Stegostoma tigrinum: one gene and its partner. The protein of the gene in region 1 purifies or fractionates together with the protein of each later gene. This does not show direct contact. Links are inferred from orthologs where the notes say so. Each region holds a gene or a part of one and is shown in the gene's direction. Other genes may lie near its edges.

Region 1 (7,688 bases):
TGTAGGCCTGCACATTTTATTAAAATCTCCAAGCCTAGGAAAAGCACATCATCTTTTAAAGAGACCACGCACTCTTCCCCCTTATTTTACAAACATCAGATATTCGACTAAGCTTTGCAACAGTGTATTCAATGGTTGCACTGCAATGTTTGCCCAAACCCAGTTGCTCTGAAGTGTTGCTGATGAGCCTTTACCTGCTATTACGGAAAGGATTACAACAATTATGTAGCCACATGTCTGTTAGATGGGAAAAACATAAGAATTGGATAATGCATGATAACAAATAAAATATACGTCCAAACCAGAAACTTCCCTGACATTGTTTCTCTCTTTTTCAGTCACAAAGAATTCAAGCCAGGGTGGTGCTGGTAATGTAACCTTGGTGAATAGCTGCAGTGTACTTTATAGACAAAACAAACCGCAGCCACATTGTGCCAGTAATTTAGATAATAAACATATAGTCAAAAGGCAGGGCTGCCAATTAATACAGACATTAATTTGGGAAAAATGGAGTGGCCAAGCATATGGGGTTGTAGATTTCACCAATGGAGGAGGTCAGAGCACATTAATCAAGAAGAATATTCATTAATCAAGATCAGCATTTTGAAGTCAATGCAGTTGGAAAATTTGTGAAGATCAGTGAAGGGAAGATTGAAAGAAAGTGGTAATTTAGAATAGCATTACCATTTTGGCCAGCTTGGGAATGTTTGGTTGGAATGCAGTGGAATCCAACAAGAAGAATGATACAACAACAGGAACAATAACTTAAATGAGAGATCCATAGTGCATTGAATGGAAACATAGCACTGACTCACCACAATAGCAATTAAGCTACCACTTGTGGCCCTGTAGCATTTATTTTCCTTTTCAGATAATTATCCAATTCCCCTTTGAATACACAACTGAAATGGCACATGCTTGCAGGGAGTACATTCCAGATTTTAGTTATTCACTGTGAAAAATAAATTTTAGTTTTGCACAAAAAAGAGACAGTATGTTGAAACTTTCTGCCTCGCATTCAGAGTCATTGAGTTGTACAACATGGAAACAGACCCTTCAGTCCAACTCATCCATGCCAACCTGGCATCCTAAATAAATCTAGTCCCATTTGCCAGCATTTGGTCCTTATCCCTCTAAACATTTTCTCTTCATATCCCCATTCAGAATCCATTTAAGTGTACCAGCCTCTATGACTTCTTCTGGCAGCTCATTCTATATACACATAACCCTCTGCATGAAAACGTTGCCCCTCAGGTCCCTTTTAAATATTTCCCCTTTCACCTTAAATCTATGTCCTCTAGTTTTGGACACCCCCACACTGGAGGAAAGCCCAAGTGCATTGACCCTATTGGTGCCCCTCATGATTTTATAAACCTCTACAAGGTCAGCCCTCAGTCTCCAATGCTCCAGGGAAAAGAGCCTCAACCTTTTCAGCCTCTCCCTATTGCTCAATCCCTTCCACCCTGGCAACATCCTTGTAAATCTTTTCTAACTCTTTCAAGTTTCACAACATCCTTCCTACAGCAGGGAGACCAGAATTGCATGCAGTATTCCAAAAATGGCCTAACCAATGTCCTGTACAGCCACAACATGACCTCCCAACCCCTATACATTCATCATGATAAATGCTACAATATGAAATTTTAAACGGAACAGCAATTTATATCGCATGTGCAAAGTGGGCTGATTGTTGACAAATGAATACAGGCATTGTGATGGAGAATGTTGTCAAGGCAGAGGCATCAGAAACTCAATCGGGGTGGTGGTAATGTCCCTAACTCCAAGCCAGGAGTCCTAGATACTCCAGAGGTGTGCAATAGCTTCTCTGCACAGGCTGATTAGAAAACATCTATACTTCCTTGCTTGGGAGTGGACTGTGCTTTCAAAGTCATGTCCCGATACTATTCGTACATGCAGAAAAACTGGTAGTGAAGCACAGATCGCTGATTTTAGGCCTTTGGCAAAGATAACATAGGAATAGGAACAGGCTACTTGAGCCTGTTCCACCATTCATTGAGATCATAGGAGATCTGTGGCCTAATTCAATTTACTTGCCATTGGTCTGTTTCCTTTAATAAGTTTGCTTAACCAGTTTTTCTATCACAGATTTAAAATTAACAAACGATCCTGTATCCACTGGTGTTTGTGGAGCAGAATGCCAATATATCCACCAACCTTTGTGTGTAGAAATACTACTTAACACCTTTCCTGAACATTGTGGCCTTAATTCTCAGACTATGTCCCCTAGTTCTAGAATCCGAGCCAGTATAAATAGTTTTATCTATTCTGTCTTTTGCTGTAGAATCTTGAAGACTTTCATCGGATCACCCCTTAACTATCTAAATTCTAGGGAAGACTGGTCAAATTTTTATAATCGCTCCTCATAATACAATCCCTGAAGTCCAGGTATCATACTTGCAAAGTTGTACTCCCTCCAATGCTAATATGTCCTTCCTCATGTGTAGTGCCCAAATCTGTCAACAGCACTGCAAGTGAATGAATAGACGAATGAATGAATAACTTTATTGTCATGTGTATTTTATGGTGAGAATAACAAAGTACAGTGAAAAGCTTTTCCATTGTTGCCATGATCCAACACTATTTTCCATCAGGTGGGGAGACTAGGACCCGTGGGCACAGCCTTAGAATTAGAGGGGGTAAATTTAGAACAGAAATGAGGAAATATTTCTTCAGCCAGAGACTGGCGGGCCTGTGGAATTCATTGCCACAGAGCACAGTGGAGGCCGGGATGTTAAATGTCTTCAAGGCAGAGACTGATAATTTCTTGATCTCACAAGGAATTAAGGGCTATAGCGAGGAGGTGTGGGGGCAAGTGAAGCACTTCCTGCAGTTGCAGAGGAAGGAGCTGGGTGTGGTGGGGTTGGAGGGGAGTGTGGAGCGGCCAAGGGGGTCACGGAGAGAGTGGTCTCTCCAGAAGGCAGACAAGGGTGGGGATGGAAAAATAGCTTGGGTGGTGGGGTCAGATCGTAGATGGCAGAAGTGTCCAAGGATGATGCGTTGTATCCGGAGGTTGGTGGGGTGGTATGTGAGAACGAGGGGGATCCTCTTGGGGCGGTGTGGCGGGGGCGGGGTGTAAGGGATGTGTTGCGGGAAATGCAGGAGACGCGGTCAAGGGCGTTCTTGACCACTGCGGGGGGAAAGTTGAGGTCCTTGAAGAACGTGGACATCTGGGATATGCGGGAGTGGAATGCCTCATCATGGGAGCAGATGCAGCAGAGGCGGAGGAATTGGGAATAGGGGATGGAGGTGTATTCTCGGTAGCTGTGAGAGTCGGTGGGCTTGAAATGGACATCAGTTACAAGCTAGTTGCCTGAGATGGAGACTGAGAGGCCCAGGAAGGTGAGGGATGTGTTGGAGCTTGCCCCCACACTTCCTCCCTCACCCCCATCCCAGACCCCAAGATGACTTTCCATATTAAGCAGATGTGTTCCGCCAATGTGGTATACTGTATCCATTGTACTCGGTGTGGCTTCCTCTACGTCACGGAAACCAAGCGAAGGCTCGGGGACCGCTTTGCAGAACACCTCCACTCGGTTCGCAACAAACAACCATCTGTCACAAACCATTTCAGCCCGCCCTCCCATTCCTCAGATGACATGTCCATCATGGGCCTCCTGCAGTGCCACAATGATGCCACCCAAAGGTTGCAGGAACAGCAACTCATATTCCGCTTGGGAACCCTGCAGCCCAATGGTATCAATGTGGACTTCACAAGCTTCAAAATCTCCCCTTCCCCCACTGCATCCCAAAACCAGCCCAGCCTGTCTCTGCCTCCCTAACCTGTTCTTCCTCTCATCCATCCCTTCCTCCCACCCCAAGCCGCACCTCCATTTCCTACCTACCACCTCATCCCTCCTCCTTGGCCTGTTCGTCTTCCCTGGACTGACCTATCCCCTCCCTACCTCCTCACTTATACTCTCCTCTCCACCTATCTTGTTTTCTCTCCATCTTCGGTCCGCCTCCCCCTCTCTCCCTATTTATTCCATTTCCCTCTCCCCATCCCCCTCTCTGAAGAAGGGTCTAGGCCCGAAACGTCAGCTTTTGTGCTCCTGAGATGCTGCTGGACCTGCTGTGTTCATCCAGCTCCACACCTTGTTATCTCGGTTTCTCCAGCATCTGCAGTTCCCATTATCTCTAGTACGAGGCCGTCGCCTGCCTAAACTTGTACCCATGCCTCCTGACTCTCAGAAAGAGCGACATTACCACGGCCCGGCAACATTGTTGGCGAGGAAAGGACGCATGGTGCCTTTAAAGATAGTTGAGTAGTTTCCATCGGTAGGCGAAGAACTACAATCCCCATGGTTCAGCGCGGGAAGGGCATGCGCAGTGGTGTGAAAGGAGAACGGGCCATTCGGCGGCCTGGCAGGCAGGAGGGAGTGAAAAGATGAACGATCAGGGGAAACGGTGACTTCCCGCCGAGCCGTGTTGATGGCGATCTCTCCACCTCTGAAGGGGAGGAACGATATAGAGTGAAGGCGGGGCCAGGGGAAGGGGTGGGTGGGGAATCGTTAAAAGGGAAATCGCTCGGAGCCTGAAACCGTGCACCCCGAGGGAGAGGGGACCGGTGGCGGGGCAGGTGGATGAGGGTTTGGGTGGGGGTTTTGGTTGGTGGGGGACGGCCGAGCGAACTCCGCTGCAATGCTTGGGCGTCGAGAGGCCGCGGCGGCGAGGCCGGAATTCAGCGGCTGAAGAGAGAGAGGAGAACGGCGCGACATGTTTCGCTGTGCGATCGACCGATGGGTGAGTGTCCTTCGCTCCGCCCGGGCGGGGGGGAAAGCTTGGAAGCTCAGTTTAACTCTTACCGGCGGTGGCGGTTGTTTGGTGTAGCGGAGGGGGATTCGTGAAATCCTTCTGAGGCGCGGGCTCCGTGACTGAGGCGACCGGCGGCGGCGCCTCCGAACGTTGACCCCCGGGAGCCGCCGCGTGCAGCGCGAGCCTCGGCACCCGCTGCGAGCTCCCGCGAGCCACCCTCTTGTGCATCTCGCCTCTGCTTGCAAAGTTGTCCTCATTTCCTTTCTCTTTTCATTTCACCCCCTTCCTTTCTCTTTTTTTTCTCCCCCCCCCCCCCTCTAATCGCAGAAATACGATCAACACGCCCGTTACTTTGTGAAATTTTGTGTTTTAAAAATTCCTTTGGAGGGAAGCCATGCTGCATTCTTGCGATGTTTTTATTTCGGTTTTGTTTTGCTTATCTATAAGTTTGAAATATTGCATTTTGATATGCAGATTGCATTGATTATTTGATAACATGCTGCAGTCCTCGGTGAGAAATTATTTGCGTTCATGCTTATGGGACGTCTGATGTGCCGACATCGCATCAGCACAAGTTTCTCATTTCTTCACTGCTACTCCGTTGCGTTTCGGGTAGCTGCAATAAGTTTTCTGGCCGATTTAGCACGTTTTCTCTCCAAGATTGGTGGCCTGTGCTTTGAACTCGGACTGTGCTGTCTCAATTTTGTAAATATTTCCAGTGTAACGTGTAAAATAGGCTGCAGTGTTCTCAACTAGCTTTTATACAGTTAGAATAGGCAATTCTCCAGTAAACTATATACAGATGTTTTTACTAGTGACGGCAATTATTAACACATCGCGTCTAAAATTAGCAACATATTTTATGGGGAACAGGCTTTAAAAGCCGCTATTGTTGAATATGATGGAAATAATGACACTGCATCGGCTTATTTTCATAAGCAGTACCACCTTTTGTGGATAGGGATTTGGAGGATGCAGGTTAAATCGTAGAGGTATTTCATTCACAATCTGTATTAGTGACGGACGGTTTTGATGTGAATCACGTTCTACTGAGTGAGGGACTAGATGGAATGTGGCGATTTAGCTATCTTTCTGTCACCCTGGTGCAGTTGCTCTTGTACAGATTGAAGATAAGGGAATACATTCCAAGGATTTGGTTTTCTTTTGGCCCCTGGCTTGTGCTGCGGTGTGGTATGTGTGTCGCGGTGCTAGCCATCCTCCAATATTTGATGATCTGACCGCTTTCAATGTGAACAAGTCTGTTGATTTGGCTGCACTTCTGTTAAACCTGAGTCCATTCCTCACTAATAGTTGCACGTCTTTTCTGGTAGAGGTCAGTGGAAAGTGAGTAGGAGTGGGAAAGGTGACCAGATGTACTTTCTACATCTTGAGATGCTGCAGCAAATTCCTCACCTCACTGTTTTATAGTCTGTAACGTCTCTTTGTAATCAGTTGTCAAATATTTTCAAGCAAATGTAGCATGACATTAAAGCATTAGTGCTTTAACCCCTTGCGCAAGATAGCATGGAAACTAATTAGTTAACATGTTTTGAAAGTTTAACTGCAAATGTATAAACTTATTTGAGTGTTTTTGGAATAATTTCAAACTATAAAACGATTCTTTAATTACAGTCAGGTAATACACACGTTGTGTGATTTTTATGCTAACATTTGACATTGTCGACTCTTATGCATTACAGTACAAACACCTATGATGTCCACATTGACATGTAGTTGGCTAAAATAGGACTGATTTTTATAAGTTTAAAGGCACAGTCTGTACATTATTATAATTCACTATCGCAAGCAATGATTGGGAAGTGTTCAAATGACATCCCTGCTCCTATGAAAGAACTTCATGTCTTATTATGGTGGTTTCTTGCTAATTTCCGCTGAACAAGATGTGTGCTAAATTTGAAAAGGAAATATCTAAATACAATTTTCTGCACACTGCTTCAAGATTATGAAAGAAAATTTGGGAGATTGTAATGTGGTGACTGTAGCATATATATCTGCCCTTTCTGTGCTATTTATATTAGTTAGCAGAACAAATCAAAGCTAATCTGTTTAAGAGATACTGGGAACTGCAAATGCTGGAGAATCCAAGATAACAAAGCTTTTCTGATGAAAGGTCTAGGCCCGAAACATCATCATTTGTGTTCCTAAGATGCTGCTTGGCCTGCTGTGTTCATCCAGCCCCACACTTTGTAATGTCTCAACCACAAAGATCGCAAGTATTTTTCAAATGTAGACTTTGCTGAAATTAATAACCACGTTACACCATCTGACCAAAACTGAACAAACTTAAACATGCTAGTAGCACATTTTACAAGATTTCCATGTACAGTGGAAACTATTCTTGGATCATCTCATGCAAGTTTGGTAGTTTGCAATACCTTCTTTTGATGGAAAATTGATCAAATAGGAGAGCTGCTAAGTTTTAAAAAATTTTTTAACTCTTTTGTTATTGCTGAAAAGAGATGCATTTTTGTTAAACTTTCTGTCTTGCATTCATCAGGGCGTTTTGCAAGAACACTGAATCAAGGGGCAAACCAACATTTTTGCTATCTAAGTGGTTGGCAAGTGAGCACTGATCGAGGCATCGCCATAGACAATTCACCCATTGATGTGTTAACTGCCAAGCATAATTTTAAATTTTAAACTAGGCTAGTTGATCCTGCTTGGATAGAGTGTCACTCAGATAAATGAACCAGTAAGTGAGTTGAAACTGGTGCAGTGCTAGTATATGTTCTTTCTGTCTGCAAAAAAAAAAGACCTGTGTATTAATACATTTAGCTTCAAGTCCAGTATTGGAAAAATACCCCTCACGTTCACAAATTTCCTTTTTAGGAAAGAAAATCTGCCTAGTCTGGTGAGACTCCGGACCCACAGCAATGGGGTTGACTCTTAGCTTA
Region 2 (7,836 bases), on another chromosome or scaffold:
GCATTTATTGAGAATCCCTAGGTGCTCGTGAGAAGGTGGTGGTGAGTTGTGTTCTTGAACTACTGCAGTTCATGTGCTGGAGCCACAATGCCCTTGGGGAGGGAATTCCAGGATTTGACCCAGTGACAATGAAAGTCAGTATGTTTCTAAGTCAGCATAGTGAGTGGCTTGGAGGGGAACTTGCAGGAAGTGGTGTTCCCTATCTGCTTCCCTTATCCTTCTCAATGGAAGTAGTCACAAGTTTGGAAGGTACAGTCTTTGATGAATTTCTTCAGCGCATCTTGTAGATAGTACACATTGCTGCTACTGAGTATCAGTGATGCTTGTGATTGCTTGTGGATGCGGTGCATATTGATTGGGCTGCTTTGTCCGATGGTATCAAGCTTCTTGAGTGTTAAAGCTGCACCCAATCCAAGCAAGTCGGCAGTATCTCTTGTGCCTTATACACAGTGAACAGGCTTTGGGGAGTCTGCGGGTGAGTTGTTTGCAACAGTATTCTAGCTTCTGACCTGCCCTTGTAGTCATTGTATTTATATGGCAGCAAGTCCAGTTGAGTTTCTGGTGAATCGTAACCCCAGGATGCTGATAGTGGAGAATTCAGTGATGGTGGCACCATTAAATATCAAGGGGTGGTGGTTAGATTGTCTTTTACTGGAGATGGTCATTGGCCAACATTTGTATGGCATGAATATTACCTGCCACTTGTCAGCCCAAGTCTGATTAATGTTACTGATCTTATTGCATTTGAAAATGGACTGCTTTGATGTTTTAGGAGTCGTAAATAGTGCTGAACATTGTGCAGTCATCCGCAAACATCCTCTCACGTCTGACCTTATGATGGTGGGATGATCATTGATGAAGCAGCTGAATATGGTTTGGCCCTGGGCACTACCCTGAAGAATTCCTGCAGAGATGTCCTAAAGCTGAGATGACTGACTGCCACAGCCAACAACTACTCATCTTCCTGTGTGCCAGATACGACTCCAATCAGCAGCGAGTTTTGACCCAATTCTCATTTAGTCCAGTTTGCTAGGGTCCTTGATGCCACACCTGGTTGAACGTGGCCTTGATTTCAAGGGCAATCACTCTCAACTCACCACTGAAGTTCAGTTCTTATGACCATGTTTAAGCCAAAGCTGTAATGAGATAAGAGCTGAGTTGCCCTAGTGGAGATCAACTGGATGTCAGTGAATTTGTTATTGCTGAGCAGGTGCTGCTTTGATACCCCTGCTGATGACACCTTCCATCACTTTGCTGATGCTCAAGAGTACACTGATGGGGCAGAAACTGATCAGGTTGGATTTCTACTGCTTTTTGTAACAGGACATCCACATTGTCAGGTAAATGTCAGGATTTTAGCTCTACTGGAAGAACTTGGCTAGGGGAGTGGTAAATTCTAAAGCATTAGTCTTCAGTGCTATTGTCAGAATATTGTCAGGGCCCATAGTATTTGCACTATCCAGTGTCACTAATTGTTTCTTGATATCACGTGGAGTGAATCGAATTGGCTGAAGAGTTGGCATCTGGAGGGTTGTAGGTATTTGGAACTCATTGCTGAAAGGGTGGTAGAAGTTCACATCATTTGAGAAGTATATAGATGAACGTTTGAAATGACATTGGTTACAAGGATACAGGCCAAGTGCAGGAAAATAGAAATAAAATAGATGGATATGTGATGATGACAAAGTGTAGGCCCAAAACATCAGCTTTTGTGCTCCTGAGATGCTGCTTGGCCTGCTGTGTTCAACCAGCTTCACACTTTGTTATCTTGGATTCTCCAGCATCTGCAGTTCCCATTATCTCTGGATATGTGACAGTTGGGGTAGACAGAATGGGTTGAAGGACCCCTTAAAACTGTAAAAATTCGACAATTCTCTGAAAATTGGGAACTTAATCAAGGTGCTAATAGTTCCTTATGTGTGTGGAACCACAACCTGACGCCCCTCTACACCACCCTCATAGCAGAATGTTTGCTTTAATTGTTGAGCAAATTGATCACATCAGTCAAGGTAGAGTCAAATTAATGCACTGTACACTGAGAATCTTCCAGGTTATCCTTAAACTCACACAGAAAACTAATATTGGGGTGACTAGGGTTTGATCAATTAATGGAAGCGTCGAATCACAAATTGGTATGGCACAGATAAAGGCCATTTAGTCCAACATGCCTACACCATTTATATCCAAGTGTTTTCATTTTCTCTCACAACTTGCTTGCTTCATTTGCGTATCACTTTAAATCTATGCTTTCTTGGCATTCCTTCTTTTACGAGCCAGAATAGCTCTGGATTGAACCTCGTCTGTCATCTATCCATCTACTCCACCATCTTGTCAATATGTTTTTGGAGTTTCATAAAGTCCTCTTCGCAGTTTACAATTCTTCCTTCCACTGATCATTACTCTCTGTTTCCTATCAGTCAGCCATTTTTGTATCCATGTTACTATTGTCACCTTTATAACCATGACCTATAATTTTCCTCACAAGTCTATTGAGTGACACTGTATCAAATGCCTTTTGAAAATCCATGTATACTATTAAATCATAGTCCCATAGGACCAGAGGGCTTCTCTCTCATGAGAAAGACATCTGGTGGGGAGGTCAACCATAGGTTCACAGTGCCTTAGGGAAACGGGTCAAGAAGGCAGGACTTTTATGGTCAACAACAAGAAGTACAAAAACAGAAGCTGCTGGAAAAGTTCAGCAGGTCTGGCAGCATCTATGAAGAGAAATCAGAGTTAATGTTTCGGGTCCGGTGACCCTTCCTCAGAACTGATGGTAGCGAGGAAATGTCTGCATATAGGCAGAGGATAGAGTGGAGGGAGGTTGTGAGAAATAAATGAAATGTGGGGAAAGAGCCCAACAAGAGAGAAAAACAGTTGGACACATAAAGGAGTTGATAATGATCTGGCTAGGAGGTTGAAAAGCTGTTGATGGGAACCGTTGGTGACTAACAGTAGGTAGCCTTCATTCCCGACCCCATCCCTGTCCCTTTTTTTCTGTATATAAACTGACATTTTTCCAGCCACCATCTGTTCTGAGGAAGGATCACCAGAACCAAAACATTAACTCTGTTTTCTCCTTCACAGATGCTGCCAGACCTGCTGAGCTTTTCCAGCAACTTTGTTTTTGTATCAGATTTACAGCATCCGCAGTTCTTTTGGTTTTCAACAGGAGGTAGTGTGTCCTGGCAGACTATTTGATAACAAGGCCTGGTGTGTGGAGTAGGGGGCTAGGACATGGGAGAGTTCAGGACCTAAAATAATTGAACTCAGTACTGGGTCGCGGGGGGTAGCTGTCTGTCGAACTTTGAACATCATAGAGATAACTGTGAGTCTGGGTGGATTCAAGGCTCTGGGGAGAGTCTGAGCAGCAGGCAGTCACTGAGGAATATGGACCAAATAAAAATCAACAGAACTGCAAATGCTGTAAATCAGGAACAAAAACAAAGTTGCTAGAAAATTTCAGCAGGTCTGGCAGCGTCTGCGAAGGAGAAAATAGAGTTAATGACCCTGCGAAGGGTCCCCAGACCCAAAACGTTAACTCTGTTTTCTCCTTCACAAATGCTGCCAGGCCTGCTGAGCTTTTAAAGCAACTTTGCTTTTGTCACTGAGGAATGTGATATAGCTGACCTCATCTTGGTGACTTCAGCTAGTGAGGGAATTGAACACGCACTGTTGGCATCAGTTTGTGTTGTGTACCAACCATCCAGCCTGAGCTAACCACATCAATCTTTTCTGTTACCTCTTCAAAAGACTCCAGCAAGTTCACTAAACATGATTTTCCTTTAGGGGAGTGCAAGGTGCCATAAGCTTGAGACTCACTAAATCCAATGTGGATGTTCAGAAAAATAACCCAGACAGCAGTTGAAATATAGAAATTGGTCAAACAGGGAGTAGATGAAATTTTCGGTGCTTTGACTGTGAAGCTAGTTAAAGAGAAGAAATGCGAAGCATATCAGCCAATCAACACTATTCCCATAAAAGTGTAAGCCATAAGGAATTGTTTGGACGTATCACCTTGGAATCCTGACTAACGGTAAGCAGGACATTGGGGGTTAGGTGGATTCAGCTTGTCTGGTCCAGTCTCCTTTCGCTGTGTGAATTGCAGAAACAGAAGTTGCTGGAAAAGGTCAGCAATCTGTGAAAAGAGTTCCGAGGAAGGGTCGCCAGACCGGAAACGTTAACTATGATACCTCTTCACAGATGCTGCCAGATCCGCATTTCCAGCAACTTCTGTTTTTGTTCCCGATTTACAGCATCCGCAGTTCTTTCGGTAAACTGTAGAGAGTCTGACCTTGTGGCCGCTCTGACTGAGGGGTGTGAGCCGAAATGACAACTATTTTTTCCCCCGAAGACGGTGACGGTGAGTAACATACGAGCAAGAAACCGGATGGAGGTTTGGAGAAGGCTTGTCTGGAGCAAAGCACCACTTAGACGGAATATCCTGCTTCAGCGCTTTGCATTCTCCATAATTTATCTGTAATATAATTAAGGGAGCTGTTTACTTTGTTTGATTCCACGCTCGGACCTCTTCACTCCTCTACCTGCCATCTTCAGGTATTTTCTCTATTGTATCTTCCAGCCTGGAATATCAGTAAAGTCCTAGTGTTAGTCAAGCCCCTAAGACTGTATTTACAAACAATTCATCATGTCTTAGACTTCCATCAGCTGAATGTTGATTGGTCTGTAACAAATTGCTGTCGAAACGCTTTACTGGTCGTTATGGAAACAGCAGCTCGGAATGTTCAAGAGCGTCATGACGTCCTTGAACGTGATCATGCGATGACGTTAATTATAGACGTCATCGCGTAGCAGCGTACTCGGGTTTTGGTTTCCGGGATTAGTTCCTTCTTTCTCCTCAGGGGTTAGGTCCGAGCGGTAAGTGGTACATTGGGGTTTGGTGTGTCAATCGTAGAGACCGTGATCTTGTGGCCGCTCTGACTGGGGGGGGTCTGAGCCGAAAATGGCAACTAATTATTCCCCCAAAGATGATGATGGTGGTGAGCAGCACAAGAGCAGGAAACCGGACAACACCGCATTTAAGCAGCAGCGCCTCCCCGCCTGGCAGCCTATTCTCACCGCCGGCACTGTCTTACCCGCTTTCTTTATAATAGGCCTCATTTTCATCCCCATCGGCATCGGCCTGTTCGTCACCTCCAACAACATCAAAGAATTCGAGGTAAGTCCCGTGGCGGAAGCACTGTAAGCTTTGTGAGGTTGAGGACAAATGAGGAACAGCGTCAACCAAGGCATACAATTGTCAACCTAATTCTTCCTTAATATTATTGGTCTACGTACGGCACACCCTAGACACTGATACCATTAGGTTTTTAACTTTTCGGTCTATGCCAATATATAATAGTGTGGTTATCAGTAGTAAAGTTGCAAATCTGCAAAGAAGCATTCCTTTTGGATGTATTCTTTTGGAGGAATGGTGTTTAGTTCGATCAGACCTAATGTATACCAAACTAATCTGTGAAAACACATTATTGAAACATCTGTAATGATATCGTTTCTCGTTATGATCGGGAACACTTGTAGGCAGTGTTGTGGTGACACCCTGCTTTTAAATGCGAGCACTCTAAGCATGGAACCAACGTAGATTGCAGATCCTAAATCGTTGGGTATTTTTGGGTTTATTTGGAAGATGCTTTCTGAACGGAATGGCCTGCTTTGCATTACCTAGCAATGTTTTTAATTAAAGTACCTCCAGATTTTGCAAACTACATTTATTTTAATTATTTTTCCTTTTATCAATTGATGCTCCTTAACATTGGCTTTATTTTTTGCAAACCTTTGGCAAGATCAGCAACACAGACAGATAAAGGCAAGGTGTACTACAGAGACAACAGTCAGAATGTGGAGTAACAGAAGTACCTTGAAACTTTGGGAAATGACTACCTCATTTGTGCCTAATTCCAAATTTCTTTGTTTTTTTGCTAAATTATCATGAAAGAGATTAAGGTCATATCCTCGGTTACTGTAATCTATAAATCTTAAATGTTTGAATGTTTAAACTAACAAGAGACCTACTAAAATGTTTCAATCATATTAGTACTGAAATTGTACCTCTTTACAGGAAGTATAGTTATTCTTTCACCAAATATATCAACAGAGTCAAAATGCCAATGTTTGGAATTAAACTACTTAAAACTGTCCATGCGTAAACATGGTACAGAAGTACATATTTTTGTTAGGGCTCTGACTGTTTTTTATTTGGTTAAAACTATAGAATGTGAAAGTCTTGTTGGAAACTGTTTTCTCCCAGGTTGAAAAGACAGGTTTAGATCCGGTGAGCTCAATAGTATTTGAATGTACAGTCTCTTTGCTATTATAATTTTTTTTGTCTGTCATTGGAAAAATAACAACATGTTATCTACGAACCTTGTTCCATGATTATCGCTGTTTAGGATTCCTGTTTTTGAAGCGGTATTCTAACTACTCCATTCTTCAATTTATTTGTGTGGTGGCATTCCCTTTCAGGTTAGATTGTATAGACGTTCAAGATATGAATGTTAGCTTCATCTGTTGAAACAACGTTCATGTCAAATGATTAAAATAATACATCTTTGCAAAAACATCAAATCTGGTGAATTTTCTTGATTTAAGATCAAAAATAACTTTTGGATAATAAACCATTAAATAATTGTCCCTGCTATTTGTCACACTTAACAAATCCACCATTTCATTGTTTCCTTCCATGCCATTCCCTATGCTACTCTCTAATCCCTCCTGTGCTATTTCCAAGCATTTGTTGCCAACCATATCCATTCCACCAATCTCATCCATTCCTCACAAAACAATTTTTTCAGCCAGAATAACTTCATTACTGGGCTCTGCTTTCCTTCTGCCGTTTTTGAGCTCCCCACCTTTGGTGTCACCAACTGTGGGTAGCCACATGCCTGTCATGAGGTCTTGTTCTCTGCTTTGCTCATGTGCCTTTGTGTGTGCCAGTTACTGCCCAGCAAATAGACTTACCAAGAAGTGCACACTTCAGCTGCTGAATCATAATCATGTACCTTGACAAAAACTGAGTTTATCTGCAGATTTTGATATAAAAAAAATCAACTTTACATTAGGCTAAGAATTTACCAAGTATCAGTGTATGTCTCATTACGTAAATTCATTTTGCAGATAAACGTTGTGTGTTCAGTGCCAAACTGACTATCAGAGTGCCATCAATTCTTGAAACTCTGTCCTATAACTTTAATCGTGAAGTGTATGGTTTCATGATGCTATGAGAATGAACTCATTTCTGTCAGGCCATTATGGAAAAATAGTTTCCACCTAGCAGCTCCTTTTTCTCCCCCCTCCTATGGAGAAGAAATTTTAGTTACTTGGGCTGTAATTGACCAAGGACCAAATATGACACTGGCAAATTCCAGCAAATGTGTTGCCTTGTTATCATAAACTTTTTGCCCCAGTTACAATATGGTGCATGAAAAAGCAAGGGAATTTAAAAAATAAACATTGAGGTAAAATTATTGGATTTCAGCCTGATGCAATTTCTTTTCAGGTTCAATGATTCTGAATAACTGTAAAATAATCCCATTAAGATGTGTGGCTTGCAAGCCAGGGCCTGTCTTTTTAGCCCTTGAAAGCTGAATGCAATATCTCTCAAGAGTACTGGTCAGGAATCTTCAGTTTAAATTGCCCTTGTTACCTCTGAATAGTATCTTATATCACATTTTATTTTATTTTGAGGCATCGTTGAAAAATAACAAAGTCTGGTAATTATTATTAAAACTGGCGAGAATGAGTTTGATAGCAAGCCTTTCATCTGTCTGAAGGACAAGAGAAATTCCTGTCCTCTTGTTCACTTTTAGCTCTGGTGTT

The links.
Region 2: the proteins of phospholipid-transporting ATPase IG-like (region 1) and cell cycle control protein 50A-like purify together in Homo sapiens (co-immunoprecipitation; 4 studies listed by BioGRID and IntAct, with this or other methods). This does not show direct contact. The link is inferred for Stegostoma tigrinum from reciprocal best matches to the Homo sapiens genes ATP11C and TMEM30A.

What each region holds. Positions count from the first base shown.
Region 1 is NC_081368.1:4,262,036-4,269,723, reverse strand, and holds the start of phospholipid-transporting ATPase IG-like, read left to right. Parts: upstream 1-4,625; 5' UTR 4,626-4,734; coding exon 4,735-4,761; intron 4,762-7,688. UniProt on the Homo sapiens protein: Catalytic component of a P4-ATPase flippase complex which catalyzes the hydrolysis of ATP coupled to the transport of aminophospholipids, phosphatidylserines (PS) and phosphatidylethanolamines (PE), from the outer to the inner leaflet of the plasma membrane.
Region 2 is NC_081362.1:27,361,842-27,369,677, reverse strand, and holds the start of cell cycle control protein 50A-like, read left to right. Parts: upstream 1-4,799; 5' UTR 4,800-4,963; coding exon 4,964-5,179; intron 5,180-7,836. UniProt on the Homo sapiens protein: Accessory component of a P4-ATPase flippase complex which catalyzes the hydrolysis of ATP coupled to the transport of aminophospholipids from the outer to the inner leaflet of various membranes and ensures the maintenance of asymmetric distribution of phospholipids.